Rattus norvegicus: one gene and its partners. The protein of the gene in region 6 interacts with the protein of the main gene of each other region in a pairwise test. Links are inferred from orthologs where the notes say so. Each region holds a gene or a part of one and is shown on either strand. Other genes may lie near its edges. The genes, in order: Ncoa5, Prr3, Sdcbp, Chtop, Hbz, Khdrbs2 and Rbm3.

Region 1 (4,048 bases), on a different chromosome or scaffold from region 6:
GGGGGGTGCGGCTGGAGTGGGTGTAGCAGAAGGGAGCACTTGGCCGCTCTGAAGCGGTTGGGAACTTGGTTGTGTCTTCAGCGAGGAACCCGAGGCCGCCCCGAGTGGCTGGCGGGAAATCGGGCCTGGAAGACAGAAGAGGGAGGCATCTGGTTGAGAGTGCCCCCTAAGGGCAGGAGGCCTAGCAGCCACAGGAAGAATAGCAATCATACATCACAACAATCACACAGTACAGACAATAACATCAAATTCCAAAGAAAGCAGCCCAATCAATGCCCAATAAAATTGCTTAAAAAACAAAACAGAACCTAAATAAACAGACAAGGGGCATCCATCACGGCTCCTTCCCAGGAGGCCAGCAATACTAGATTACGCCCCAACAGCTCAACTCCAGGGAGCAGAGCTCGGCAGTGAGTCAAGATCATAGCTGCCAGCATCGTCAGCGTGCATGGATTGTGGGAGAGCCAAAGGACGGCTCGTCCCTTGCCCACCCTGGAGAACCCTGGGCATGCCACCCTCCCAACAGAGCATGGGATGAGAGAAATGCAGAGTGAGAACTTCACCTCGGCCCTGCCACGTAGCTCACCAGGCAGAGAGTCGGCGCTGCTCCTCAGGAGCCGCTCCTTCCGCTCTCGCAGGTAGTTGATGATCTTGTCAGTCTCCTCTGCAGTGAGGTATCTGTTATCTGCCAGGAGGTTGATGAGGCTCTGGATAGCTGGAGGGTGCCCCCCGCGACCCCCCTCCTCCGGGCCTCCACGGTCTCTTTCCTGGAGGATGGCGTCATTAGCCATCTTGGCCGCCTGTCGGGCGATCTCCTCGCGCTCCTTTTCTCGACAGTCGTTCTTGTAGCGCTCATAGTTCCTGGCCACCAGCACCATGGCGTCTGCCTGGGGCATGTTTCGATGCTCTACAGAAGGGAGCGACACCAGTCACTTTCTCAGACCCACGACACATCCAAGTGCTCACTGCTGCACTCAGTCTCAAAGCAGAGAAGCACTGCAGTGCCAAGAAGTCTTGAACCTAGAGTGAGGTGGGCTGAGGGACAGAGCAGCACTCTTCAGTGTGGGACACACCTTCCTACAGAGCTGTTTCCTCAGTGGATCACAGACCTGTGGTAAAAACCCAAGGAATACAAAAGCCTCCCACAGAGCCAAATAGGCCACGTGGGGAGCAGCACACAGCAGCAGGAGGCCCAAGAGTCTTGTGTGAAGCCTGGCTCTCTGCTGTGCTCCGGGCAGTCACTATGGTTTTAATTCATCAGTTCAAAGGTCATGGGTTAAGACCAACCATCTCTCCTCAATGGGGCAACAGTCCTATCTGAGGACACGTCTTGGAACCTTACATGAACATCTACACACAAGCTAAAGACAGCTCCTCAGAGACAAGCAATTTACCACACCCTGTGACTATGGGTGTGAAAGCCAGGACAACAGAGCACAGGCAGGTGGAAAAGGGGAAGTTAGGCTTAAGAATCATAGACAGGGCACAGATGGCTGGCTGATTTCCTCTAGCGGAAAGAGCCTCTCCTGCCTGTATAACCCCTCTACTTGCTTTTCTAGCACACTGGCAACCAGCAGCCTGTCTGTGAGAGTCTCATCCCTGGGAGCTGCATTTTAGGCAGCAGATGCCTAAGTCAGACTTCACTGGGAGCCAGGTCCCTTCAGTGATGTCCCACTGATGGCTTGAGATGGGGCATGGTGGAATTACTCATACTTGGAAATTGTACTCACTACTAATCAGTCTGCCTCTCCACCATAGCTGGCTGTTGACGGTTTGCCAACAGGTCTAGAACAGTATCAGAGAACACCACAGAAAAGATGAAAAGTCTTTTCCACAGCAAAGGAAGGGAAAGGAAGGGGCTGCCACATTGGAACTGGAACATGTCAGTCATTCCTCAAAACCCACTTCTCACAGGCAGGGCACAGAATCTGTGCTGGTGACTACCTCTGGGAATTTGGACTACTTAGGTCTCTGTACCTTGTGGAGTTCCGAACATGATGTTGACTGTGCAGGAACGGTGAATCTGGTGCTGCTGGGTGATGACAATGGCAAAGGGAGACCCTCCCCTGCTGACATCCTCCAGTGCTTGTGAGAGGGACACCTCTGTGTTGAGGAAGATCAGGTCCACAACCATGCCCAGGTCTCGCACCTTCCTCCCCACAGACTCCGCATAATCTCTATGAGAACAAACAGGATCTGGGTGAGCACTCCCTGGCCACGGCTCAATCTGTAATTCTGGACCTCAGCCAGCTATGTCTCCTCAGAACTCAGACTTAAGTCCACCCAGTACTATCTTCAGGTTTCTAAAATAATTTTTTTTAATTTTTTTTTTCCTAAAATAATTTTAACTGTGCTTCGAGCACACGGGAAGTTGCCGTAGGATGGTACTCAAACTGCCTCCTCCCCATCTCATTACCTGTTAAAGCTGACTCTGACTGGACACTATTGCTCCCAACCAGCCTGTTTAGACCTTGGGAAGGTAGCATTTTGTTCCCTACTACTTTGGAAAGCAAGCCCTGCGGAGGGTACTTCCCACTAAGTTTAGCTTAACAAGCTGTTACCAGAGAAGGATTTAATCGTTACAGCATGAGGTAACTGGACACTAGACAAAGTACCATTGCTTTGCATGGATGCTGGCCATCTGTCTCACTTAAAGGAAGGAACTGCAGCTCCATCCTCGCTCGCACGCCACCCAGAAGTTTAACACTGCCCAACCCCCACGCTCAGAAAAGATACTATACTATCAGAAGGAATGAGGGGGCATTGAACATGTGTATCAGTGTCTTCTGGTGACGCCTGCCTGCTGCTTCCACGTGTCATCCATGAGGTCACTCCAAAGGACACTTGCCACAACGGTGCTGGTACTGTCAGCAGTTGGATCACACTCAACAACAGGGAGTCTGAACATCCTCTAGGGCCTTCTAGACAGCATCCAGGGAGCTTCCCAACTCGAGTCACAGGATAGGAGTGCAGTTCCAGACGCTAAGTAGCCAGGTCCTCCAGAATTGCCTCTCCTGACGGCCTCTGCCTACTTCCTGTCTTAAGGTCTCAAAAAAGGAGTGATCAGGAATATGTACATGGGGTCTTGTGCTATCTTCTAGTCCCCAAGGCTGAACTGTCTCTCGGGTGTTAGACCTTTAAGATTCTTTTCACATTTGCTGTCTGCCCGTAAGTGACTGCAGCATGCAGATGTCACCGAAAGACCTTTGACCTCTCTCCTAAGATGTTTTTCATAATTTTGCTAAGTTTTTAAACCTGGTTTTCTCTTCCTGTTTATCTATTTTCTCAAAGTCCCAAGCAGTCTGATACATCTTCCCCTCAAAATCCTTCGGCTATGGGCCACAGTGCTCATCAAAGAGCTGTCATACAGATCACTCCTGAGCCACTGCTTGATGCGATGGTGCACAGAGGGCTTCCTGTACGAACACACGTGTTTCTAGTTTTCTTCACTCTCATCTTTACAAGAAACAACTTTGTGGTATCATAAAAAGCATGAAGGCATCTGACTCGGATGGTCTTCACCCACTCTGACTTAGAGGTTTTCAAAACTGCTCATAAAACTTGTTGTAGTTCTTTTTATCCTCTACCAGTCTGTTTATTACATTTAAAAGGTTTCTATTCATATGCCTGCACACGCACACACACACACACACACACACATGCACACACACACCCGTGTACCCTGTACCTCCTCGTGCCCCAGGAGGCCAGACGAGGGCACCGGATCCTCTAGGACTGTAGCTAGAGAAGGTGGTCAGCCCCCATGCAGCGCTGAGAATTGAACACAGCTCCCCCAGCAGGGCAGGCACTGTGTGTCCGTAACTGTTGAGCTCCCTCTGGTTCTTCTGCCAGTTTAATGAACAAAACGTTCTAAGCATGTTTTGACCAAATTCTTTCTGATAGCTTTCCAAATTTTGCTTTGATGCAACATTTCATAGGAAATACTTAAAAGAAGGAGCTCCTTGGAATCCACAATGGTGCTCCTGTGCTATTGAGGAGCTGCTGACGTGTGGTTGTGTAGCCCACTGTTATCCCCAATTGCTGGTGA
Region 2 (2,797 bases), on a different chromosome or scaffold from region 6:
TACAAGAAATGAAAGCATAGTCTTTGGAGATTTGAGTTTTTGTTCGACTTTGTTGGGTTTTGGTTAATTTATTTATTTATTAGCAACAGGGCCTCGTTGTGTAGCCTTGGCTGTTGGGAACTCACGATACAGACCAGACCAGACTGGCATGCAGAGAGAATCTGCCTGCCTCTGCTTTCCAACTTCTTGGATTAGGCAACACCAGGCTTGTCTTTTTGGATTTGTTATGTAGCCCAGGGTGCCATCAATCTAACAAAATATATGCACTCAGTGGAATATTGTTTTGTCTTAAAAGGAAGAAAATGGCATTAGTGCCGCATCATGGGTGGGCCTGAGCACACTGTATTAAGAAAATGGGCACATGAGGGTAAACACATGAGCTGTCGGGAGTCAGACTCACAGAACAATCAGGGTGTGAGTTACTAGGGCTGTTAGAGATGTAAAGAAAGGGGTGGTTAGAGGTTTCTGTTTGGTCTCTGGTTTACAGTACAGGGCCCTGGGATTCTGTTTCCCAACAGTTACTTACAGTATTGAATCTTACACTTAATAGTTGAGGTGAGTCAGGCTGACAAGATGGCTCTACAGGTAAAAGTGCCTGCCCCCAAGCCTGACAACCTGACTTTAATCCTTGGCCCCAAGTAGTACAGGATCCAAACTCAACGACTTGTCTCTCTGTCACACATGCAGCACGATACCTGTACACACATCCCTAACACCCACATATGAGATCTAAAGTTTTAGAAATCTATTTCTTCAGGCTAAATATAAGTGGATTGCTGTTAGAGAGGACCCGAGGTTCATTTTCAGCGGCCCACGGTCTAGTGGAAGTAGGCAGCAGACAGGGCTAGTTCCAACACCCTTTTTTGGTCTGCAAGGACACCACACGCATGTGATATGTGAGCATACATATTCTTGTTTCTCACATACAACAAATGAACCGAATGAGAAAGGCTGACCCTTGGAATGCTTGGAAGCTGTAGCGCCCGCCACCTCTGAGGGGGCTGTATAAGTTGATACACCACTAAGATTAAAATTAAATTAAAAGTTAAGATTAAAATTGATTACACTGTTCTTACTGAGCAATTCCTCTGCCACATGTAGTCTGAACAGAAACTTATACTACACATAGAAATGTTCGTAGCGGGGCTGGGGATTTAGCTCAGTGGTAGAGCGCTTACCTAGGAAGCGCAAGGCCCTGGGTTCGGTCCCCAGCTGTGAAAAAAAGAAGCAAAAAAAAAAAAAAGAAATGTTCGTAGCATTGTTTATTGTGGCCACACACTTAATACCCACATGTCCATCCTCAGTAGAGCACATAAGTCCGTGTAATAGGATGCTATACTTTTTTTTTTTTTAAAGATTTATTCATTTATTATATATAAGTACACTGTAGCTGTCTTCAGATACACCAGAAGAGGGCATCAGATCTCTTTACAGATGGTTGTGAGCCACCATGTGGTTGCTGGGAATTGAACTCAGGACCTCTGGAAGAATAGTTGGGTGCTCTTAACCGCTGAGCCATCTCTCCAGCCTGGATACTATACTTTTAAATTTAAAAAATCATCTACTACTGGCCCAGACAAGTTGACTCTCATGATTATCAGAAGAGCCCAGAGTTAGAGCCAGGAAGATCCACAACCTGTCATGTTAGAAGTCAGGATGGTGGCAACTTTCCAGGAGAGGAAAGGCCATATAGAAGGATGGCTTTTCTGAGGCTGGAGATTTAGCTCAGTAATAAAGAGTAGTCAGTTGCCTAGTATATACAAGGTCCTAGGTTCAGTTCCCCACACCAGGGGCTAAAAAGCGCCAAGAAAGCGTATCTCTGTGTATGGGCAATAGAAACCCAGGGGAAGAGGTAGTAGTTGGTTTGCGTACTTAAAAGCGGTGTGTCAGGGGCTGGGGATTTAGCTCAGTGGTAGAGCGCTTACCTAGGAAGCACAAGGCCCTGGGTTCGGTCCCCAGCTCCGAAAAAAAGAACCAAAAAAAAAAAAAAAAAAAGCGGTGTGTCAGAGAGCTTTGCTGTATGTAGTGAGCAGGGGAGGGGCTTTTGTCAGGACTGAGGGGCTTCTGCCCAGCAATCACCTCCCTGTCTTTCTCTCTGTAGTTTTCCACAGGGGTCCTCCAGGATCAAGGGGACCAATGATTCCACCACTGCTGAGTCTCCCACCTCCTCCCCGGGGTAGAGGCCACATTCGGGGAGGCCTTGGTCCTCGGTCTAGCCCATACGGTCGTGGTTGGTGGGGTGTCAATACTGAACCTCCTTTTCCTGGGCCAGGCCATGGGGGTCCTTCTAGGGAAATCTTTTACCAAGAGCCAAGAAATCCAAGAAGGCTCAAAAGCTGGTCTCTTGTCAAGAACACCTACCCACCTAAGGACAGCCCCCCGATGATGGAAGGTAAGGCCCACTTTGTTATGTTTGTGCCGTGGCCTGTATACCAGCAGGCCTGGGAATCTTCTCCTTTAGGCTCTCACTGAGCAGCACTGAGAATTAATGCAGGGCCTTACCTGTATTGAGGAGTCCTCTAGCGCTGAACTACCAGCTTCTTAGCTGCCTCAAGAGGTACCAATAGCCCTGAACACTTTTCTTCCCTCAGAAAGACTGTCTTTCCAAAATACTTGGTGATCTGGGAGTCTTGCTCAGTGATTGAACAAGGTGTGCATCATGCCTGAGGCCCTGTGTTCTATCCCTAGCACCAAAAGTAGAAAGAAAAAGCCAAAATACTTGTAAACAGTATATGGTAGAAACCTTGGCTTTCTCTCTGCATTCTATACATTTTCTTTCTTAGGATTTTTAGGGCAT
Region 3 (4,048 bases), on a different chromosome or scaffold from region 6:
TCAAGCAGACCCCACAGCAAATATTACCTATCAAAAAGACAGAAGTGCTCGTAAACTCCTGTGTACTGTCAGACAGTGAACATATCTGGAATAACCATTATGAAATAGTAACAAGGAGCCTCATGTGAAAAACGCATGTGCCATACAGTCAGACAATCTCCCTTGCAGGTATATACCAAAAGGGAAATAAAATCCCTCCATGCCAATGACACCCGCCTTCCCGTGTTCACTGCAGCATTCATCACTGTGGTCAAAGCTGAGAAACACTAGTGTCTGTCAACAGAGGACTAAATAAAGAAAGTGTTGTCTGTAAATGCACAATGGCTTATTACTAAAGCCATAAAAACATTGGCATTGGAACAGTAAGATTGACCCTGGAAGACATTATACTAGAGGAAATATGTCAGAGACAAAAAGCTAGTACAGTGTGATCTTATGTAAACTCTCTCTATACAGTCTCAGCAGGAGGAAGCAGAAGGAAGGCCCTGTTGGGGGTAAGAGCTGGGCAGAGGAGGAGCTCGACAGGGCCAATAAATGAATGGAGGGAAAATGGGAAGGCAGACAAAGTATACAAACTCTCAATAATAAAAATAAGTCTGAAGGAACAGCACAGTAACCATGGCTGTTAATATTTTTACAACTGAAACTTGCTAGTGTTATAACCACATACTAAAAAAGTTGTAACTCTAGGAGGTGATAGTTAGATTGCTTCACTTGATTGTAGAAATATTTCACAATGTACACAAATTGATATGTAATATGCTGTATACTGGTGGAGACTGGTTCTAATGCTTTGATTCAATCAGGAATCTGCATGTCCAAGCACTAAAGGTCCTTGTCCTCAATTGGTTTTTAATCCATCAATAATGATGCCAGCAGCTAACAGATGGACAAAGGGAGACAGGGAAGAACCCTGAGAGTTGCTCAGGCTAGGATACACGGGAGAGAAGAGAGATCACCATGTATAGAAGGATGCGACACAGGAACTACAAGAAAGCAAGCCGAGGGCCGGAGAGATGGCTCAGCAGTTAAGAGCACTGACTGCTCTTCCAGAGGTCATGAGTTCAATTCCCAGCAACCACATGGTGGCTCACAACCATCTGTAATGAGATCTGGTGCCCTCTTCTGGCCTGCAGTCACATATGCAGGCAGAATGCTGAACATAAATAAATAAACCTTAAAAAAAAAAAAAAAAAAAAAAAAAGAAAGCTAGAATACATCCCATGGCACTTGTGTCCATATACATGCAAAATAAATTAAAATTTGAATCTTAAAAAAAAAAAAAAAAGAAAGCAAGCCGATGTGAGAATTCAGGTGAGTGGCCACTTCCCAGACTGGGCTTGGGTAGCAGGGGAAGGTTTGTAGTGCCCAGCCTTCGAGGGAGCCAAGGCATTTTAAAGTTAGCTGGCACGCATATGTGCATGTGTGTGTCTTCCATTAGCAAATCCAAAGAGTTCACTGTACAAATCATAACTAATACAAGGTTTCAATAAATACTGAAATTTCAATATATAAAAGCCAGGTTCTGTACTAAGCAGTAGCAAGAGGACAGAAGTGGATTTAGTCATGAAGCATGTAACTATAATTAGAGCAAAAGCTACATGTTACATTTAAACCTAAAATCTCAGTCTAACTACAAAAAAATGGTTTCTAATTACAAGAGGAGGAATGTTAAGATTGTGGACAAAATAATATGGCAGATATATACTTCAAATAACTAATCTGCCAGGAATGAAATACTGTCTGAAACAAGACTTGCTGTGAGGTCTGTTAAGAAATAACTGTACTAGTTAGTAGGGCTATGTCAGAATTACAAACCTCAGTGTAGTTACACAGCTAGAAAGGATAAAACTAACTTGGAAACATGTCAGGGGAAGGATAAAACGCAGAAGACAAAGGAGAGACAATGACCTAATCAACAGTGGATGACAATGGTCAGAGATGTAGAGTTTAATAATCATAGGAGAGTTCAGCCCCAAAGTTATAAATAGGTGAGTTCCCTACAAATGAGAGTTTATACCTGTATAAAGTACGTTTGATAGATTCAAGCTTATACTGTACATACCCCTTGGGTTGGCGCTCCAGAGACCACAGGCATGTTTTCACATATTTCAGCTTCACTTAAAGACAGTCCCATGTATTGAGAGAGTTCTGGATACAGTTTAGGATAGAGATCTAATATAAACAAAGACAAAGGCATTGGCAGAATATGCAAAATAACAACTTAGTATGGACTTACTGTGTCTTATTTTTCATGCATAAAATGGAAGGACATCTTCCCATCTCTGTCACAATTAGAATGAAAAAGTCCATAACCACTTTAATGCTGAAACAGTCTTAGCCTTCTAACCCAGTGAGTCATCCATTTGTGGCCATGAGGCACTTTGGAACCCACCATAGGCCACACTTGCAGGTGTTCAAGTCCCTCATTTAAGATGGCTCAAGCTAGCCGTGGTGGCAACATGGCTTTAAGCCCAGAGCGCCACTAGTGAGGCAGAAGTAGGAGGACTGCCACAAATCTGAGGCCCTCCATGGCTACATCACAACACCTTAAAGGCTGAAGGTGGTCTCGCCATCAGGAGACCTGTGCAGGTTATCCTGTCTGCTTGACCTCTGCGGGAGACTCACCATATACAATACCACCCAACACTGGCAGCTGCTGCATTTCTCTTAAGAAAAATAAGAAAAAACTGTGTATGATCACAGTACAAATATAGAATTTAGAGACAGAAATAAAAGACACAGAGGGATAACTACTCAAAAGTAAAAAATAATTTTCCAAATAACTGACCTTGCTTGACCTTCTGGGTTTGTAACATAGCCCTAATGCATTAGACGCTGAGGGATCATGGCAGGGACTCCAGTTCACAAGACCCAACATGTTTACTGTTTCAGCTGCTTAACTCTGGATGGGATGGCTCCTCTCACGTAAGAGGAGACACTGCCAGAGCTTGTGATTTACTCTGTCCTACCACTTTAAGAATGATAGGCATATTCCAATGAAATAAGACAAACAGAATTTTTAAACATTAACAATTGTTAACATTTTTTGAAGTGAGCTACTTCCAAAATCTTTTTCTATGATCTGTTTTGACTTCAGAATAGATTTATTACAAAGAATAAAGTTAAGAGAGGGCGACTGAGAAGATGAAAGGCCAGAAACTCTTAAGTTAATCCTTTACTTTGTATCTTAGTGTCTTACAGCGGCTGGGTCCTAGAGCCTTTGGATTCGGGATGGAAAGCAGACAAATTATAGTTTATGGAGTCTGAACAGCAACTCTTAGTTTTGAAAGAAAATTCCCAAAAGAACACAGTTGGAAACTCCCTGAGCTCCCTGGCAAAGTAAGGAAGAGGTAGCTCCGGATGTGTGAGAGAGCGGCAGTTGGGAAAACTGTGGTCCCATGGAGGAGTGTTTCTCACTAATGAATAGACTATGATAAGGATTACGAGGCAAACTAAGCATTTTATTATGCACCCAAACCCATCTTCATACTCATAGATCACTCTTGATTAAACAAGTTAGTCCTTTCATAAACCGAAACGTCCAGACAGAACGCTGGACTCAGTGTCAGGGAAGACTTACTTCCACCTGGAGGGAAGGCAGCAGAATCGACCACATTTAAAAAAAAGGCCTGGCTGGCAGGATTAGCAGAAGAGGCAGTTTGAGCCTGGAAAAGAAAAGAAAATTCTAGCAAATACCAAAAATGCCTACATCTTTCTTATATTATTTACATGTTAATTCTAGTACTTCCCAGAACAAACTAACAACTGAAGTTTTATTCAAAGTTTCACTTGAAACACTTCAGCAATCATTTCCCCCCCAAAGGAAACCTGTAAATTAAAATTCTTAGGAGTACTTCGAACCTGAAGGACACCATCTGCCACATCTTACGGTCAGTGCTTAACAGGGCGCCTGCAAACAAAGTAACCGCACGCTCTTTCTCTCTTGGTGTTTGAGTCAGGCCTCAAACTCATCTGTAGCTGAGTGTCACATTACCATCAACTCTTGCCGCCCTGGCCTCCCCCTCCCAAGTCCCGGGGTGAGAGG
Region 4 (4,716 bases), on a different chromosome or scaffold from region 6:
TCTTAGAGAAGTGGAAAGTATGAAATACACGCATTAAGCAAATATGACAAGAAACAGAGATGCAGTTACAAAGACAAACAGAAATGCCTACACCTTTGGAGACTGAAAGTTCATTCGAAGGACAAACAGGACAAAGGATCAGAGCACCTTCAAAGTCCACTGAAATAACAGAGACACGTGAATTATGGAATGTCATTATATTCTAACATGTTACTCAGTAACACACAAATACAGGTAATTAATATAACACATCTTAAAAGATGAGTAGAGAAACACATGCTTTAGAAGCAAACACAGGCATTAAATGCCTTGGCTGTTCTAGCAACAACATAATAAAATGGTGAAAGACACCAAATAAAATTCTCAGAAACAAAAACTGTCTTTAACTACTTTAACTTTTCTTAAATCTCAAATAACCATTCTTTCTGACTCAGGACTTCTCTGAGAAGGTTAAATTAGTTAAGTCACTTACGAGCCTAAAAGGGCATTCTAACATTCCTGTAATGAATAAGTTTAATGGAAGTAAACACACAGCTGTTGAAAGATTTCAAAACACAACAAACTAAAAAGCAGAATGGGAAGAAAGTGAAATGGAGCAAAGCAAGTGCCTCTTACAAGGCCCAAGAATGACATTCAGGGGCCTTTGGACATAGTTTTGGCTTGCTACCTGCCTCTTACAGGCCAGACACAACACTGCTGGCCTTGGACTAGATAGCAAGCCGAATGCAGCCAGGATATACCATACCATCGTGCTGCACCACCCCTGTATCAATGTTAGGAAAAAAAGAAAAATCGAAGGGAAGGTGTGAGGAGTCTTTTAAAAAAAAATATATCCCACCAGGTCAATATGTCAGATAGCTTAATATAAAAATCTACTGATAAGGGGTTTTGAAACAACTGCCCAATTTGTTTGTACCACATTAGATGCAATCAATTAAGAACAGAAGTCTGTAGCCTTCTGTCATTTAGCTTACAACTGGCTTTTTTGTATTGGACCCCAGGGCCAATTTAAGTAATGTTTTCTTAGGAAGGAGCTGAAGTTGCTGTTGGCTGCCTCACCGCTCATTTAGAGACATCTTGGTGGTGCTTTTTAGCACAACTTTCGGCGCTGACTGTGCAGCCATCTTCAAATCCCGAGAATCTACAAAGGACAATATGCATAATGAGTCAATCAAAATAATGAAGTTTGCATTTTCACAAGAATCGAGGCATAAACCCATGAGAGGCCTATACTACTAACTGCTGAAGATGGTGTCATGAGAACTTAAGTTTGCCATGTGGTGGTGGTGCCCACTTTTAGCCCCAGCACTCCTGAGGCAGTGGTAGGTGGCTCTCTGTGAATTCGAGGCTAGCCAGGTCTACAGAGCAAGTTTAAGGACACAAGCCAAGCTACAGAGAAACCCCATGGGGTGGGGGCTTAAGTTTAGATGACAGTTATTTCCATTTATCAAATTTCAGAGCCCCAGGATGGAGAACATCTGCCAAAGTCAACAAAATGGCAGAATCAGATGTAGCCAAAGCCTAGGAGTTTGGCTTTCAATCTGGAATAGTTCTTAGCCTGGGCTGAATATGATTTAGCTGAGGAATGTTTAAAAAAAAAAAAAAACAAACTAAATTTTTGATGTCTGGATCCAGACAATTAAACTACAATCTGGCCATGACGATGGGGTACAGCAACTGGGGCTAGGGGTGCTACCTACCCAGGTACATCTTACATGTCTACAGAAAGTTGAGGGCCACAAATCTAGAGAAATGGAGGAGCTGGGAATACAGCTCAGCAATAGAGTGCTTGTCTAGCACTGATGAAGCCTTAAGTTCAATTCCCAGCAGCAACAGAGGAGTGGTGTAACAGGCTGAGGACATCAAGGGTTACACTGTCACATTATGAGGCTCCGACTCTCACACACTCAAAAGAAATGCCAAGTTTCAAAACTGATTCTCAACTCCAAATGCAAGTGGAGCTCTAGAAAGACATGGCAGGGGAATGACAGAAAAGGTTTTCTCAATGGGTATTCAATCTGAGAGCTCTGTCAAGAGCAACTCCACAAAATTTAACTGTAGGGGCACATACTGGGAAGGGCTGAGGCAAGAGGGTCACAAGCTAAAGGCGAGCCTAAGTGACTTCTGAGACCCTGTTTCAAACTAAAATTATTATTATTTTTAAAGCTGGGGATATTAACTCTGGGCGCTAGACTAGCCAGAGCATAATTTTGGATTCAATTTCGGTGCCGAAAAAAAACGAACACCCAGAGCCGCCGCTAATTCCTGTATTCCTCATTTAACCTCCACCTCAAAGCCTCTCAAAAGACTTTGGTCAGGCGCTTATTTCCGTTGTTATTCCCATCAAACGCTATTCTGGGGCGAGGCTTGGGCTCTGATGGAGGGCGCTTATCTACATAAGCAAGAGACTAGATTTGGGGCCAAAACCAAACCACCACCACCAACCACCACCACCACACAAGCCAACCAAAACCAGCACCAACAATCCTGCTGGCCCGCTTGCTGGCCGCGGTTCCGGCTTAGCCTCCGCCTCCCGGCTCCGCCCCCTCCCCCGGCCTTTGCTCACCTCAGCCCCATCCGCACCTGCCGTCCGCGCCATGTCCCGCGCCCCCTCGGCGCTCCACCTCTGCTTTCACCACAGAAACTCACCGAAGGAGATGGACGCCAGCGCTCCTCCCGGGGTTGCCACCACGGCTGCGGCGGGCGGGCCGGAGGCCGGCCGAACCCGAGCTGACGGCGGACCGCTCGGGTTAACTAGCTGGGCGGTTGGGTTAGATGCTTAAACGGTAGGTTGCGAGGCTCCCTTGTTGTGGGTTGAGTATTTAGCCGACTGATCCTCCCGCTCGTCAAGCCAGCCTTTTCCTGCCTTTCGTCTGTGCCACCACAGCCGGCGCCGCCAACTCCCGCTTGGTGTCCAAAACAAAATGGCCGCCAGGCCCACCAGTGCAGCGTGACCGGCTAAAATGGCGCCGACGGGCTTGCGTCATTGCGCGCGCAACTAGGGGCGTGGAAAAATGGGCCCTTTGGCTTGCGCAGGAGTCGCAGGCGTATCCCTACGGACTTTGGCAAAGATCCCTTAAGTTACGTGTAGTGCTCCGCCCTTGGGGGCGTGGTCAGTGGTCACAATCGCTAGGTATCTTGACTACCTGCAGGACAAGTTTATGCCCTACTTTGTTTGGGGTTTTGGTTTGCAGAGAGCAGCTTAGATTGGAAGCAGTGTTTATATTCTTTTATTTCCCAAGTTAAAGACCAAAAGTAAAATCTTATTAGGACCTTAGAACCTCGCTGATTTGCTCTGGCCCTCTTCTCATCCCTATTTGTATTGTTTTTTTCTTTTTGAGGCAGGATTTCTCTGTGTAGACCAAACTAGCTTCAAACTCACAAAGATTCATCTTCCCTCCTCACTTTCCCCCTCCCCCCTCACTGTACTGGGATTGAAGATCCACATTGGATTCTGCATCCTTTTATAGGGACTGCTGCTAGAAGATGTGGCTAGTTTTAGGGTGGGTCTTTTCACCTCACATAATACAGTAAAGCAAATCTGTATCCCCACTAATGAACCCCTAATTATTACATAATGTCTAGCATTGATGGTACATCAATAAACAATGAAGCTTGGGAAAAAATTCTTCAGGTTTTTTTTGTTTGCTTGTTTGAGACAGGGTCTCTCTAATGTAGTTCTGGCTGTCCTGGAATTCTCTATACAGACCTGACTGGCCTTGAACTCACAGAAATCCTCTTGCCTTTGCCTCCCAGGTGTTGAGATTAAGTAACCATGGTATCTAATGGTAGAAACCATTTCTAGCTTTCTCCAGGTTTCTTGATGGCTTGTTTCTGTTTTTAGAGACAAGATTTGGGTATGTAGTATGGGCTGGCTTGGAACTCAAAATCTTTCTGCCTCATCCTTCCAAGAGCTGGCATTATTACCAATTATTGATACAAGTCCTTAAAGAGCCAGTAACACTTGGATTTCAGCTAAAATTTTTGGGTCCCTACAATTCTGGGTTTTGAGTGTTCCTTAAGTAAGATCTAGTGTAAACTTTCCAAGATAAGGTGTTGAGAGTGAGTCAGACCCAGAGGACACAGACATTGACAGTTCGTGAGAGAGAAGCTTTATTAAAACTAGTGGCAGATCTGGACTGCTACTGTTGCGCCTTTGGTGCATGTTGAGCCTGGGCAAGGATGGGTACATAGGGAGATACAGGTGGGATGAGGAGCAAAGAGGGAGGGCGCTGCCTACTGAGACTGTGCTCAACTGTTCTCCCAGAAGAAGTTGTTACAAGCCACTGTGAGAGCAGCCACCAGCACAACAAACTCCTGGAAGTCCACTTCCCCATCTCCATTCTCATCCAGTTCCTTCATGATCTTGTCCACAGCATCTGCATCCTTCTGGACCTGTAGAAGGAGATGGAAATGCATACTGCTAAGTTAGAGCCACCACAGTGGTTGAGGAGGAGGTGGAGATGAGCAAGCCAGAGAAAAGAACTAAGCAGTATTAATAGTTGCATCAATTGTCATCCATGATTGTCTACAATGTGACAAGTGCTAAGCTAAGCTGAGAGCCTTATGGACTTCATTTTCATTTAATTAAAAACTCACACATAAAATCATTTTAGGGTATAGTGATGCCTTTACTCCTAGTACTCAGTGGGGGAGAGAAACAGGTAGATCTATGTGAATTCAAGGCCAGCCTGGTCTACATAGCAAGTTCCATAC
Region 5 (3,749 bases), on a different chromosome or scaffold from region 6:
GATGGGGCTTCTGTCATAGACTCAGTCTTGCGTATGCCTTCCCTTTGAACTCGCAGAAGCTGTAATTACTCCTATGAAGGCAGTTACTGGAAAATTGTTATCCTTTAGGGACAGGCACACCCCCTACCTGCTTGGGGGGCAGAGTTGTGAAGTTGTAACATCGGACTTTAAAGAATTCCTGACATCCAGCCACCACACTGTGTGAAGCGATTTGGGAAGATGAGGAGAACTCCAGCTGCAGCTGTGACTGTGGGGTGCTCTGCTTCCTGCCTGCTCTGACTCTGGGGTTCTCAAGATCCTCCCCCAAACACCTTAGGAATGTCTTCTTTTTTTTTTTTTTTTTTTTTTTTTTTTTAATGTAAAGCTTTATTTTTTTTTTTTTTTTTTTTTGGTTCTTTTTTTCGGAGCTGGGGACCGAACCCAGGGCCTTGCGCTTCCTAGGCAAGCGCTCTACCACTGAGCTAAATCCCCAACCCAGGAATGTCTTCTAGTCCGTGTTTAACTATAGTGTTCCTGCCAACCCCCGGTGCATCCTGTAGCATCCCCATCCCTGTTTCCCTCTGAGACTGAATACACAGGACCAGTTATTTCTTTCGTCAACCATTTATTGGGGATTCTGGGAAAGACCTCAGGGAGGGTTCAATGAAGGGGAGGAAAGAGGTCATAGCTGGTCTTGGACTCGCGGCGATGGCACTTAGCGGTACTTCTCAGTCAGGACAGAAGACAGGATGGACATGAACTTGTCCCAAGCTTCGTGGACCTCAGGGGTAAAGTCGGCGGGGAAGTGTGCAGCCAGTGTGACCAGCAGACAGTGAGACAGGAGCTGCGGAGGGAAGGGAAGTTCAGTGCTCAGTGCAGCAGAGACCCAGCCCACTTTTCCCCTTGTCTCTTTCTCTGCTGACCTCTCCCTCCATTCTCACAAACTCACCTTGAAGTTGACCGGGTCCACACGCAGGATGTAGGCGTGTAGCTCGCTCAACTTAGTCAAAGCACCAGAGAGGTTGTCGATGTTCTTAACCGCATCACCCACAGCGGCCAAGATCTTGGAGCCGTGGGCACGCAACTGCTGAGACCCATGGTGCAGGTCGAAGTGTGGGAAGTAGGTCTTCGTCTGGGGGTAGCTGCTGAAGAGCCTGGGGGGGGGTCGGGAGAAAGCGTTAGTTTTACAAGTGTTGGTTAGGGGAGGCTAACCAGGCTCTTGCCTTGGGCTCAAAATTCAAGGTGTACACAATTTAAAAGACCTACGAGACAGAAAACAAAATAGTATTTTACACAGTGTTTAAGGAAACGAAAAAAAAAAGTACGTTGAATAATACAAAAAGCATCTGGAGAGAAGGCTCAATGGTTAAGAGTATTTACCGCCCTGAAAAGAGCTCACAGCTAACTCTCTGTAACCAAGGTGCAAGGGGATCTGATGCCTCCACTAGCACCTATTCTCTCTCTCTCTCTCTCTCTCTCTCTCTCTCTCTCTCTCTCTCTCTCTCTCACACACACACACACACACATACACAGAGTAAATAAATCTTTTCAAAACAGCCCCAAGAATGATGTTTCTATTTCCTGTTATCCAAGGCTTCATGTGGCTAGGCCCTGTATCTCCTCTCTGTCTGTAGCTGGTTCATTCATCCATTCATTCCTATTCATTCAACAAATACCTGAGGAGCCACATGGAAGACTCTGAGGTCTGTGGTTACCAGTCCACCTCTTCTAGCAGCTTGTCTGCCTGCCCGGACCCCCTCCCCAAGAGCATGGAACTCACGGTCCTCTCTACATTTTTTTCTCTTTGCTTCTGTCCTTAAGGTCCTGACCACACCTCATGACCTCTCTTCAATGACTTCTCACTGTCTTCTCCTTGTCATTTTGGTCTTACCCGTCCCTCTTCTGACCCATTTACTCAAGCCGTGGTGCCTGGACTTACCTCTCCAGAGTCTCAGTGCCAATGGGCTCTGCATGAGGCGCCATTTTGTCCCACATGGACATGATGATAGCTCTCTCATTCTTCATCAGAGACATGGTGGCGGCGGTAAAGGCTGGAGGCTGTGCTAGAGCTGAATGAACTCAAGATTGGCCTGATGGTGCTCGGCCACAGTGTCTCCTTATATACACATGGTCAGGGGCCTGTCAGGCCATTGGTTAGGAGAGGGGAGGGGGCTTGCAGGGTGGAGCCTGTTATCAGAGCCAGCAACAATGGGAATCAGGGCCTGGTGGGACTGTGAGGGCAAGTGCTATCGTCCCTGCCCAACCCCCCATGGCCTTAGGAGGGGTGTTGGAGTACCACACAGAATCCAGGAGAGATAGGGGCCCAGCCATGTCAGGAGGTCCCTTCCTGTGTCCAGATCTGCACTGTCCTTCCTCATTTCAGAATCACAAAATTGTCTGTGCCATCCCTGTCACCTAGTTTCTGTGACTCTTGGGTTCCCTCCAGGGAAGCAATAGTCCCTCTCACTCACTCAGCACCGAGGGAAGATCATGGAAGTCCGCTCCCACCAGGAGGAAGGGACGGGTCAACAAAAGAAAACGGTCTTCAGCATAGCCCTCCATTCCAACCAGTTTCCAACAAAACGCACGACTCTTTTAGTTTGACCTGCGGTTGGGTTGCTTTGTTCACTGTCCTGGATCCACACAGATGTAGTTCCACCATTGCCACAGCCTCCACAGCCACCCATTTGAGGCCTCCTCTTCCTCTTGCTCCTAACCCAAGCCACACTAATTCATCGTTTCAAAAAAAAAAAAAAATGCGCCCAACTGGAACCAGACGGCGTTGTATTCTTTTAAGACTGGCTTTCTTTCCCCTCGCACAACGTTCTGCAAACTCGTCGGCTCCCGCGTTTATTGGCAGTGGGCTATTTTTCATTTCGTGGTGTGAATATACAGCAGTTTATCCTCCGTCCACATCCCGAGAGAGGTCTCTGAGTGAGCACAGAACTCCTTTCCTCTACACCCGTTTCTGTAGATTCATCTGTATCTGACGGCAGAAGTCCTGGGAAATGCAAAGTGTACATTTAACTTTATAAGGAGTTTGACACACTGCTTTCACGAGTGTCTTTACTGTCCTATACTCCTATGTATCAACAACAGCGTCTTCGAATCCTAGCTGTTTGACAGGTAAATAGCAATATAGCATTGTGGCTGAAAACTGCGTTTTTCCAATGGCCAGTGATGGAAGATCTGTGTGCCTGTTTGCCACAAGCTTACTGCTCAAGCATTTTGCCTACCTATAAAAGGTACCTTGTACACGTTTCAGCTGGGCCATTTTCTTAACTAGTGGTTTATGGGCATTCTGAATGTGATCTGGATGCATTATTTTTCGGGTTGGGGGAGGGTCAGATATGCTTTTTTTGCAAATACTTCTAGGTTTTCATTTCCCAGTTCGTCTTTAACTTTTTTTCATGTATCATTTGTTTTGTGTGTGAAGGGCTCACGTGTGCTCATGTGTGGAGGCCAGAGGATGACTACCTCACACTGTTAAGCCTGGTTTTACGTGCCTGTACCCACTATGGCATCCTACCCAGCCCTCAGTTCATTTTAACAGTATTTTTTTTTTTAAACAGAGTCAATGTTTTAATTTGGATCAAGTCGAATTAATCAAGCTTCTACTTAGTACTCATTCTTTGGGGGTGGACTTAGTATTCTTTGGGGGTGGACTTAGTGGTGAATGATTTTTTTTTTTTTTTTTGGTTCTTTTTTTCGGAGCTGGGGACCGAACCCAGGGCCTTGCGCTTCCTAGGTAAGCGCTCTACCACTGAGCT
Region 6 (4,048 bases):
TACTGTGAATGTTTTATTATAAATAATATTCAATTCCATCCCTTTTTAATTATACCTTTTGTACTAATTATAAATTTTCAAACTACATGTCAAGGGCTCAAAGCAGGGAAATGTGGCATAAATAATGTATCTTTGCTTGTTATTCTTATTATTCTTATTCTTCCTGGCTGTGGACTCGTGTATACTATATAACTGGTTGGTGGTGAATACTTTTGTCGGAATAATCTATGCATAGATAACTAATGTGCAATGTGAAGTCACTTTCAAAAATCAATGGAGATCAAAGACACAACTTAAAATAGAAACTGATAAGGAACCATTTGTAAAATCAAAGTCACTTACAGGAACCAGGAATTTTTTAATCTCTTCCAAAGCATGACTCATCCGTGAGTAAGCTTCCCCGGGTGGAGCAAACACTTCAATTAATACGTGCAGTTCGTCACTCAGGTGGGCATACTTGGCCTCCCCACTCTTCCTCAGCTCTTCTTCCTGTAAAGAAGTTATATTTAGAAATATGGATGCACTCATTTTACATTGATTTAACATTTCCTGAGAATATGACAAAGGGCCATAATCTAAGCAAATTTTCCAAAGGTGGAAAGAAATTCTTTGAGAAATAAAACTTCACTGCAAGTTGGTTAACCATTTTCAAATTTGGATATTTTTTCCCTTTTCATTTTTTATTGGATATTTTTTATTTAATTTCAAATGTTATCTGCTTTCCCCCACCCAACCACCCACTCCTTCTCACCTCACCTGACATTCCTTACACGGGGTGGGGAGGGGAGGTTGTCCCGCCTTGATAGGACAAAGGGCTTTTCTTCCCATTGGTGCCCAACAAGGCCATTCTCTGTTCCATATGTAGCTAGAACCATGGATCTGTCCATGTGTACTCTTTGAATGGTGCTTTAGTCCCTGGGAGCTCTGGTTGGTTGATATTGTTGTTTTTAACGGGGTTACAAATCCCTTCAGCTCCATAATCCTTTCTCTAACTCCTCCAATGGAGACACCATTCTCAGTTCAATGGTTGGCTGCTAACATTTGCCTCTGTATTTGTCATGTTACGGCAGAGCATCTCAGGACACAGCTATATCAGGCTCCTGTCAGCATGCACTTCTTGACATCATCAGTGTTTTCTGAGTTTGGTGGCTGTATATGGATCCTCAGGTGGGGTAGGCTCTGAATGGCTATTCCTTCAGTCTCTGCTCCAAACTTTGTCTCCATGTCTCCTCCTATGACTATTTTTGTTCCCCCTTCTAAGAAGGACTGAAGCATCTGAAGTTTGGTCGTCCTTCTTGTTGAGCTTCATGTGGATTTTGAAGAAACCTGCCATTGTCCTCAACCACACAATTTTTAATCAGTTTGATGAAATGTTAACCTCATGAAGCCAAGGCATCTAAGGGCAGTTTCTGGAATGATGTTTCTGGAAACATCATTGCATTTTTGGGAGAACAAGGTTCTTTCCTGTCTGGTGTAAAGTACTTTTCGAATAATAAGTAGATTTTCATTGAGTTGTACAGGAACATCAGAGTTTTAATATTAGCTGAAATTACATGAAAGAAATGGTGGGAAACAAGGTTTCCTCTTTCAGCCAGTTCCCCCGTTGCCAAAATTATCACAGAGAAAAAAAAGAAAACCAAACAGACTAACAAAAAAGTTAAACCAAACCAATACCGTTAGAATTTCAAATTGAACAAACTTTGCTTAAGAAATAAAGGGGGCTCAAAAGCATCTTTAAAAATAATCCCAGTCAAAGTCATTAGGGAAACAGAAATAAGGTCTAGTTTAAAAGGCCATCTTATTCCAGTTTGAATGGCCATCATTGTGAAGGTAATGCCAACCCTGCATATGTGGATGTGATAAAGGTGGAATGGTTTACACTTTTGATGGGAGTGAAAGCTAGTGTAGCCACTGTAGAATTTAGACCAGAAGTTTCTCAAAAACTAGAAGTGCCATATGGGCCTATACTCCAGGGCATACACGCAAAGACTTTCTATCTTTACAGAGACACTTCAACTGCCACTCTCTTGTCACTAGCTAGAAATGTACCTGACCTAGACATTCATAAACAAGATAAGAATGTAATAGAAATATGATATATATATATATATATATCACTCAGCTGTTATTGGAGACCAAAATAGCCCAATGTTCAGGTAACTGAATAGAACATCAATAGATCCTAATATGCAAAGCCATGAAGGACAAAAAGCAGAGGTTCCCTCTTGTAAGTGGAATTCTCACTTCAGACTTAGTGTTTGGCATGTGTAAGTTGTATCCCAGGCAGAAGCCAGAGAAATTAATAGAAAAAAGTTATTGGCAAGAGACATAAGTGAAGGAAAGGAATAGGAGATTGTAGATCAGGATAACTAAAGAGGTGAATGCTATGTGGGGGTAGAAAGACTCTGGCAGGCAGGAGTATCATCATGTGGAGGAGCTAAGAGGTAGGGAAAATATATATATATATATATATATATATATATATATATATATATATATATATATATATATATATACTATGGAAGAGAAGAGAGGTACCTGCAACTAAAAGACAAAGTTGGGCGAGGGGGCTGGAGCAAGAAGGGAGAGGAAGTTCTTGTTTAGAATAATCAATGTTAAAGATATATTAAAAGGTTTTATGGAAACTCAATGGTTAAGTGGTTCCAAACTACTAAAAAAGGAGGCCAGGGACTGGAGAGATGGTTCACTGATTAATAGCACATACATACATCACAAAACAAAATTATAGGTGTTCAGTGGTACCCTGCATGTGTGGACAGTGTAGTTCCAAGAATGCATGGATTACTTTATAAGATACATTTATTTTTCTTTTATATGTATGTGTGTTTTGTCTGAACAAATGTATATGAAGTTTATGCCTTTTGCCCATGAAGGCCAGTGAAGAGGGTATCGGGTACCCTGAAACTGCAGAAACTGGTGGTTGGGTGCCATTGTGTTCATACTGGATGCTGAACCGAGGTCCTCTTCAAGAGCAGAAAGTGCTCTAACTGCTGAGAACCAGCCTCAGTGTAAGGAGGGTCCTGAGAAGGGGATATGGGAGCAGCGGTGATTCAACAATGACCAGGAGTCAGTTGTGGAAGCATTCAGTCAGCTCAAGGGCTCGCTCTTTACCTGAGGATTCTCATCATTCTTGCCTCTCCTTTCTTCCTTCTCCCTTCTCATCCTTTGCCTTCTCCCTACCAGAGAGACTGAACCCAGATTTTTTTAACCAAACCTACATCATCAAGGTTTGAATATTGTTAAGGATTTTTTTTTTGGAAATCCTTAAATTTACTTAAATTTTATGAATCCCAGAGCCCTGCTTCCTTAAAACAGAAACTAAACTCAAAGCAAAAGCACATTTTCTTATAGTTTTACACAGTCTACTCTTCACAAGTAGCTGGGCACAGCTCTTGAGGTTTCTTGGTACAGCAGACAGCGGTCTTTAGTAATCCCCTTCATGTAAAAACAGAACAGTGATAGACTACTAAGATTAAAATAATCTCTTACAAAATTTTAAAATTTATGCACTTAAAGCATGCAGCTATCTTTAATATCTCCTTCAATCTAAATTGCCATATCCTGTCTTCCAGGAGAACAAAGCACTAACTTTTTATTTGCTTGTGCATCATCTTATAATTCTCCAATCCTTGATTCCTATCCTAGCAAACCCAGAGCTCCATGTACTCTCTTTCTAATAGTATTTATTTCTAGATCATATATAAGCCTTTCTCCTATAAGACAAGCTCACCTATCATTTGCTTGCATTTATAGATTTCTTCTTTTCCTATCCATGACTTTTCATCTTGAGACTCTCGTCCCTTGATGTCCCCAAGTTCACCCTGGCTAATGACTGTAGCAGTCATTGAGGCAGATGGTACAAGCATCTCCTCCTAATTCCAAATTCAAGTCCAAGTCTGGCAATGAACCATTCTACAAAGGAGCATGTAGGCTTTTACGGCCTCTGTGGTTATGTTGTCTAGATCCTTCCGCATGCCTTCGAAGGCCCAGCAGAAGGCCTGTTCTTTGTCTTTCACAATCTCGTGAT
Region 7 (4,609 bases), on a different chromosome or scaffold from region 6:
TGTCCCAAAATACACATTAATTTAAAAAACTTGATTTATCCTGGCCACTTTTTTCTCTTGGCCAGCAACAATAATCCTGAGTGCCTCAACAAAAATTCTGATAAAAGGAAAAATATTGGGACCGTTAACAAATGTCTTAAAATTTGTCTTTAAAAGGGGGAAAAGTGTTTAAAGAACACATGGAGCTTTCTTAAAGTTCTTTAACAAACTACCTTGGGAGCTCAATTCAAAAATAGAACTTGATGTACTAAAACAGACGTTTCAGCGCAGCTCCAAAAATCTTTATAAATACAGCAATTTGCAAGGACGATCCTGGATCAGAAGTGTTATTCCTTGTGTATCTGAGAACAGTAAGAACGGTACAATTTTGATGTCAGGAAGAAACAGGCTGATAACATGCTAACCTCCCAGAGTTGATAAAGACGCAGCACACCAGACCTCTTTTATTTCCACCATTCCCCTAGAGATTACTTTCAGAACATCCCCCACCCCTGCAACTAGTTCTGGCATGCATACGATAGCAAGAGCAGGGGAGTGGAGGCTGACAGATTGGCTGGAAGGCAGCAGAGATAAAGGGCAGTGTGGTGAGAAAAAAAGCAAAAGGGAAGAGAAGAGGACCTGATGAACACAGATTGACAAAGTGCCAATATTCAGGTCTCACCTACATTGTGTGCATGCCCCATCTCAGTTGTCATAATTGTCTCTGTAATTTCCTCCTGAGTAGCGGTCATAGCCACCCTGGCTTCTGGGAAAAAGCGATGTTGTTTTACAAAAATGTACCCTACTTTGTATACGTTACATATTAAAAACTATACACGTCAAATTTCATAATAGTGTGTTCACAATATAAATTTTAGCTAGTTTTTGTGATAATGGAAATTATATCCATGAGGTTGGCACATGGTGGGCACAGGCAATTGACCTTTGATATATCCAGCCACACAAAACTTTCAAAAATGTATAAACAGACCACATCAAACATATGAGCCTCATGTAAACTTCCCATTTCCAGCTAAACTATGTATGAGTATTAGGCTACTGAATTCTTAAGAACACTGGTACCTCACTATCCCAACCTCTTAGTACCCACCTGCCACTGTAGTCTCTAGACCGCCCATACCCATATCCATAGCCTCCAGGTCGGCTGTCGTATCTTCCACTTCCATATCCCTGGTCTCCACCACCTGCAGAAAAACATTGAAGTAACAGCTGTTCAGACATACGCACCTAACAAATTAGACGGCTCTACCTAAAGTCATAATCAAACCATGACTGCACTTACCTCTAGAGTAGCTGCGACCACGCCCATGGGCCCCAAAGGCACCCCCTCTGGTTCCCCTGGCAGACTTGCCTGCATGGTCCACACGGATTTGGCGCCCATCCAGGGACTAGGTATGGGAAGGAGACAGATACAAGGAAGTGTTGTCAGTCAGTCAATGTAGTGATGAGGGAAGAATGGGCATAGGCAGGTAGGCAAAAGCCCAGAAATTCTTGCTGGGCACCAAAATCTGGGTGCCATGACCAAGACAAGCTCCTCTGACCAAAATGGCTTCACCAGGAGCTACAGAATCCCACAAAAGGACCTGAATCCACCGTGCTCCCCTGCTACTACTTACATCTTGACTGAACTCAGGCTGAGTTCTCCTCCCCACTCCTCTAAGCTGCCCGACTATTAGGGCTAGACGCCTCTCTTGGTTTGAGGCTTCAGAGTCCATCCCAGCAGACTCACGAGGTCCTCTCCGGGCCAGGCCCACAGGTCTGCAGACTCTACTACCTAAGCCCAGAGCAGGTCAACCATCCACAGGTGGCTTCTCGGCCTCATGCAGGACCAGTCGTCGCCTCCCAGGCAGCCCGGCTCTGTCTGCCGCTGCCCTCCACCCCCTAGAACAGAAGGCAGTCATGCTCCTGTGAGTGGACACTGCGGGGCTTCTTGGCCACGCTGCCCCTGGCAGACATAGAGGGAAAACAGAAAGAACGAAGAAAGTGGCAGACAGGGAGAAGGCCCCTCTGCAGGCAGGAGGCCTCACCTCTCCATTCATGGCTCTCATGGCATCGGAGGCATGCTCTGGGTTTGTGAAGGTGATGAAGCCAAAACCCCGGGATCTTTGAGTCTCCCGGTCCTTGACAACAACCACTGGGGAGGGTGGGGGAGAGGCAGAAATACATATGTTAGAACATTAAAGTGGAAGGCAATAGCCTGCCAAGCAAACCAGGCACAGGCACAGCCACAGCAGCACACATCAAATAGCGCCCCCACCAACTCCTCCTCCCCCAGAAAAAAATCCCGTATCCCATTGTATTTTTCTCAGCCTAACTGTACCTCACAGACGCGGAAGGCAGAATTTCAGGTTTTAGTCCTAGACTCACTCTTACCCACCAACCCTCAACCTGGGGGCTGATCCATGGCTCACCCTCAGAGATAGGCCCGAAGCTGCTGAAGTGGTCTTCAAGTGCCTGCTCATCAGTGTTGAAGTTGAGCCCTCCCACGAAGAGTTTTCCTTCTTCAGAAGACATGGCAGAATCCAAGTCCTAGAGGGAGAGTGTAAGGAATTTTGGGGGGTCGATGTGGCAAGTGGTGAGGTGTAAAACACTCGGAGACAGAATTACGGGGAAACACAGAGAGTGAGGAAAAAAATAATTCAAATAGCAAGGGGCTCGGGAGCAGAAAAGGCGGGAATCAGCAAGGCCGGGTGAGCCCATCCGCCATTTGATGATTACTACCGCGCATGCCTACAACATCTCAGGCCGCCACGCCCGTCATTTTGTATGGTCGCGCAGGCCTACAGCAGCATTGCATTTCCTCTTTCCCCGCAGAACAAGATGGCGGCGGTCACGTGGGAAGAGACAGCCGATATAGGTTGGCGCATGGTCCCTACCACCGCCGCCGACCCGGCCCGTGCCTTCCGGCATCCCTCCCGTTCAGATGCAGCACACCAGCCTCACAATTAAGAGATTTTTGCCTTCGAGCCTGGAACTAACCGACCTCGGAGCTCAAGCCTACATGTCGGCGGCCACTATTCCTACTCTCTCGTCCCTCGCCCCTGAAGGGCAAGGAAGTGAGGTGGGGGATGATCACTGGGCAAGATAAACGCACTTACCTGGAAATTAAAAGTCAGAAGACTGCAGAGACGACGAGCTCTAAGGAACCGGGAGAACAGAGAGACTGCGGCGCGGGAAGACGCCTGATAAAGTGTGCGTAGCGGTGACGACACAGGACGTCCCCCAGCGCGCCCTGGCGTGCGTGCTCATTGGTTGAGGCCAGCGGCGGGGGCTGGGAAGAGGGCGAGGAAGGCGGAGGCAGCAATTTGCCTTACCTCTTCCGGGAATACAGAGGAACTTTATAAGTTTAGTGTGTTCTCATGCTAGCGTCTCTATTCTGGCTGAAAGACTGACCCCCCTTTCCATCTCAAACGGTTGAATCCATATAGCCTTTTTCTCCCTGACGTCATTTTCAGTGTCTTTGACGTCATTTCTCCCTTTCCATAGGAAGTCTTAATTGACAGTAGATCGGTGCCAACGAACTGCCATCCTCAGAAACCAATCTTCTTTTCTTTTAGGACTTTAACCGCATATCCCTTAAGGGTCCAAGACCTTCAGCGTTCTTCATGTCAGACCTTTCATTTCCAAACGCTTAGCGCCTATCCCTAACATCTAGTCGTGAGCTATGGGACTCCTTCCCTTAGGTCATCCTCTGACTTAAGCTCGCATCCTTATCTGACAGTCTCTTTAAACCTGATATGCGTTCAGCAATACAGGTATCCTAGCTTCAAAGGGTGCAAATCCAAATCCACAAAATGAATTTTGCTCTCTATTTAGGATACTGGCCCTTGAGTCAAAGGATGAACTTTTGCAATACATAATGGAATCCAAAGCAAGTAGTGTCTAAGTCCACCGTCTGACAATTGGATCTTTCCCAGCCTTCAGTGTTTAATAATAAACAAGTGTTTGCTTCCATGGACTCCACATTTTTCGCTCCTAGAATTAATTTGTTTAATATTGACATTGTAAAGGCCTGTCCCTGACTCCCCCCACCAACCTCACCACAGATTTGCTAATCTTCAGATGCTATTCATCTACAATTCCTGCTAAGCTTATTTCCATATTCTCAGTGATTTTCATGGACTTTCAGGTTATTAAATTTTATAAGTAGTTATCTTTAGTTGAATACATTTATTTTTGTTCTAATCTTTTCTCACCCTATGGTCTATACCTCACTGTATGTTCAGGCTACTTTGGAACTCATAAACCTTTTGCCTTAGCCTCTTCAGTGCTGGAATCTCCACAACCAACTTGTCTATATTTTTAAAGAAATCCCCCCCCCGGTGCCCCAAGTTCCCAAAATTCTCTTCTGCAACTTATATCTGTTAGCTGCATAGTTCTGCTTTTAGTTTAAGGTCCTCAATCCTTGTATAGTGTTCAGCTCAGTGGTAGAGTGCCTTCCCGGTATGTGTAAGTCCCTTGGCTTATATCCCAACAAAGAGGAGTGCTGTGTTCGGTTTTACTGTGCCATTGAACCAGATGTCTCATCACCATCTATCAGGAAACTGAGGCAGGATTGTGAATTTAAGGCTTTAACAGGTTCCAGGCTAACTTTAGCTAGCCTGTGGTA

What was found.
Region 1: the proteins of Khdrbs2 (region 6) and Ncoa5 interact in a two-hybrid assay, tested with the Homo sapiens proteins (2 studies listed by BioGRID). The two-hybrid records come from large-scale screens. The link is inferred for Rattus norvegicus from reciprocal best matches to the Homo sapiens genes KHDRBS2 and NCOA5.
Region 2: the proteins of Khdrbs2 (region 6) and Prr3 interact in binary tests that used the Homo sapiens proteins (3 or more experiments, as listed by UniProt). The two-hybrid records come from large-scale screens. The link is inferred for Rattus norvegicus from reciprocal best matches to the Homo sapiens genes KHDRBS2 and PRR3.
Region 3: the proteins of Khdrbs2 (region 6) and Sdcbp interact in binary tests that used the Homo sapiens proteins (3 or more experiments, as listed by UniProt). The two-hybrid records come from large-scale screens. The link is inferred for Rattus norvegicus from reciprocal best matches to the Homo sapiens genes KHDRBS2 and SDCBP.
Region 4: the proteins of Khdrbs2 (region 6) and Chtop interact in binary tests that used the Homo sapiens proteins (3 or more experiments, as listed by UniProt). The two-hybrid records come from large-scale screens. The link is inferred for Rattus norvegicus from reciprocal best matches to the Homo sapiens genes KHDRBS2 and CHTOP.
Region 5: the proteins of Khdrbs2 (region 6) and Hbz interact in binary tests that used the Homo sapiens proteins (3 or more experiments, as listed by UniProt). The two-hybrid records come from large-scale screens. The link is inferred for Rattus norvegicus from reciprocal best matches to the Homo sapiens genes KHDRBS2 and HBZ.
Region 7: the proteins of Khdrbs2 (region 6) and Rbm3 interact in binary tests that used the Homo sapiens proteins (3 or more experiments, as listed by UniProt). The link is inferred for Rattus norvegicus from reciprocal best matches to the Homo sapiens genes KHDRBS2 and RBM3.

Annotation. Positions count from the first base shown.
Region 1 is NC_086021.1:174,157,400-174,161,447, forward strand, and holds part of Ncoa5 (nuclear receptor coactivator 5), read right to left. Parts: intron 2,178-4,048; coding exon 1,978-2,177; intron 908-1,977; coding exon 587-907; coding exon of another isoform or gene 564-586; intron 126-563; coding exon 1-125. UniProt on the Homo sapiens protein: Nuclear receptor coregulator that can have both coactivator and corepressor functions.
Region 2 is NC_086038.1:2,800,474-2,803,270, forward strand, and holds part of Prr3 (proline-rich protein 3), read left to right. Parts: exon of another isoform or gene 1-2,101; coding exon 2,102-2,392; exon of another isoform or gene 2,393-2,797.
Region 3 is NC_086023.1:24,300,919-24,304,966, reverse strand, and holds part of Sdcbp (syntenin-1), read right to left. Parts: intron 3,669-4,048; coding exon 3,584-3,668; intron 2,176-3,583; coding exon 2,066-2,175; intron 2,060-2,065; exon of another isoform or gene 1-2,059. UniProt on the Homo sapiens protein: Multifunctional adapter protein involved in diverse array of functions including trafficking of transmembrane proteins, neuro and immunomodulation, exosome biogenesis, and tumorigenesis.
Region 4 is NC_086020.1:178,287,414-178,292,129, forward strand, and holds the start of Chtop (chromatin target of PRMT1 protein), read right to left. Parts: upstream 2,936-4,716; 5' UTR 2,650-2,935; exon of another isoform or gene 2,567-2,649; intron 1,142-2,566; 5' UTR 1,125-1,141; coding exon 1,060-1,124; intron 1-1,059. Other genes in the region: S100a1 (protein S100-A1), read right to left, coding at 4,252-4,395. UniProt on the Homo sapiens protein: Plays an important role in the ligand-dependent activation of estrogen receptor target genes. May play a role in the silencing of fetal globin genes.
Region 5 is NC_086028.1:15,847,695-15,851,443, forward strand, and holds Hbz (hemoglobin subunit zeta), read right to left. Parts: upstream 2,064-3,749; 5' UTR 2,014-2,063; coding exon 1,919-2,013; intron 1,134-1,918; coding exon 929-1,133; intron 824-928; coding exon 695-823; 3' UTR 585-694; downstream 1-584. UniProt on the Homo sapiens protein: The zeta chain is an alpha-type chain of mammalian embryonic hemoglobin.
Region 6 is NC_086027.1:42,152,095-42,156,142, reverse strand, and holds part of Khdrbs2 (KH domain-containing, RNA-binding, signal transduction-associated protein 2), read right to left. Parts: intron 490-4,048; coding exon 343-489; intron 1-342. UniProt on the Homo sapiens protein: RNA-binding protein that plays a role in the regulation of alternative splicing and influences mRNA splice site selection and exon inclusion. Binds both poly(A) and poly(U) homopolymers. Phosphorylation by PTK6 inhibits its RNA-binding ability.
Region 7 is NC_086039.1:17,019,479-17,024,087, reverse strand, and holds the start of Rbm3 (RNA-binding protein 3), read right to left. Parts: upstream 3,184-4,609; 5' UTR 3,099-3,183; intron 2,530-3,098; 5' UTR 2,515-2,529; coding exon 2,412-2,514; intron 2,140-2,411; exon of another isoform or gene 2,135-2,139; coding exon 2,028-2,134; intron 1,882-2,027; exon of another isoform or gene 1,716-1,881; coding exon of another isoform or gene 1,617-1,715; intron 1,389-1,616; coding exon 1,283-1,388; intron 1,185-1,282; coding exon 1,091-1,184; intron 746-1,090; coding exon 685-745; 3' UTR 666-684; exon of another isoform or gene 662-665; intron 342-661; 3' UTR 1-341. UniProt on the Homo sapiens protein: Cold-inducible mRNA binding protein that enhances global protein synthesis at both physiological and mild hypothermic temperatures. Reduces the relative abundance of microRNAs, when overexpressed.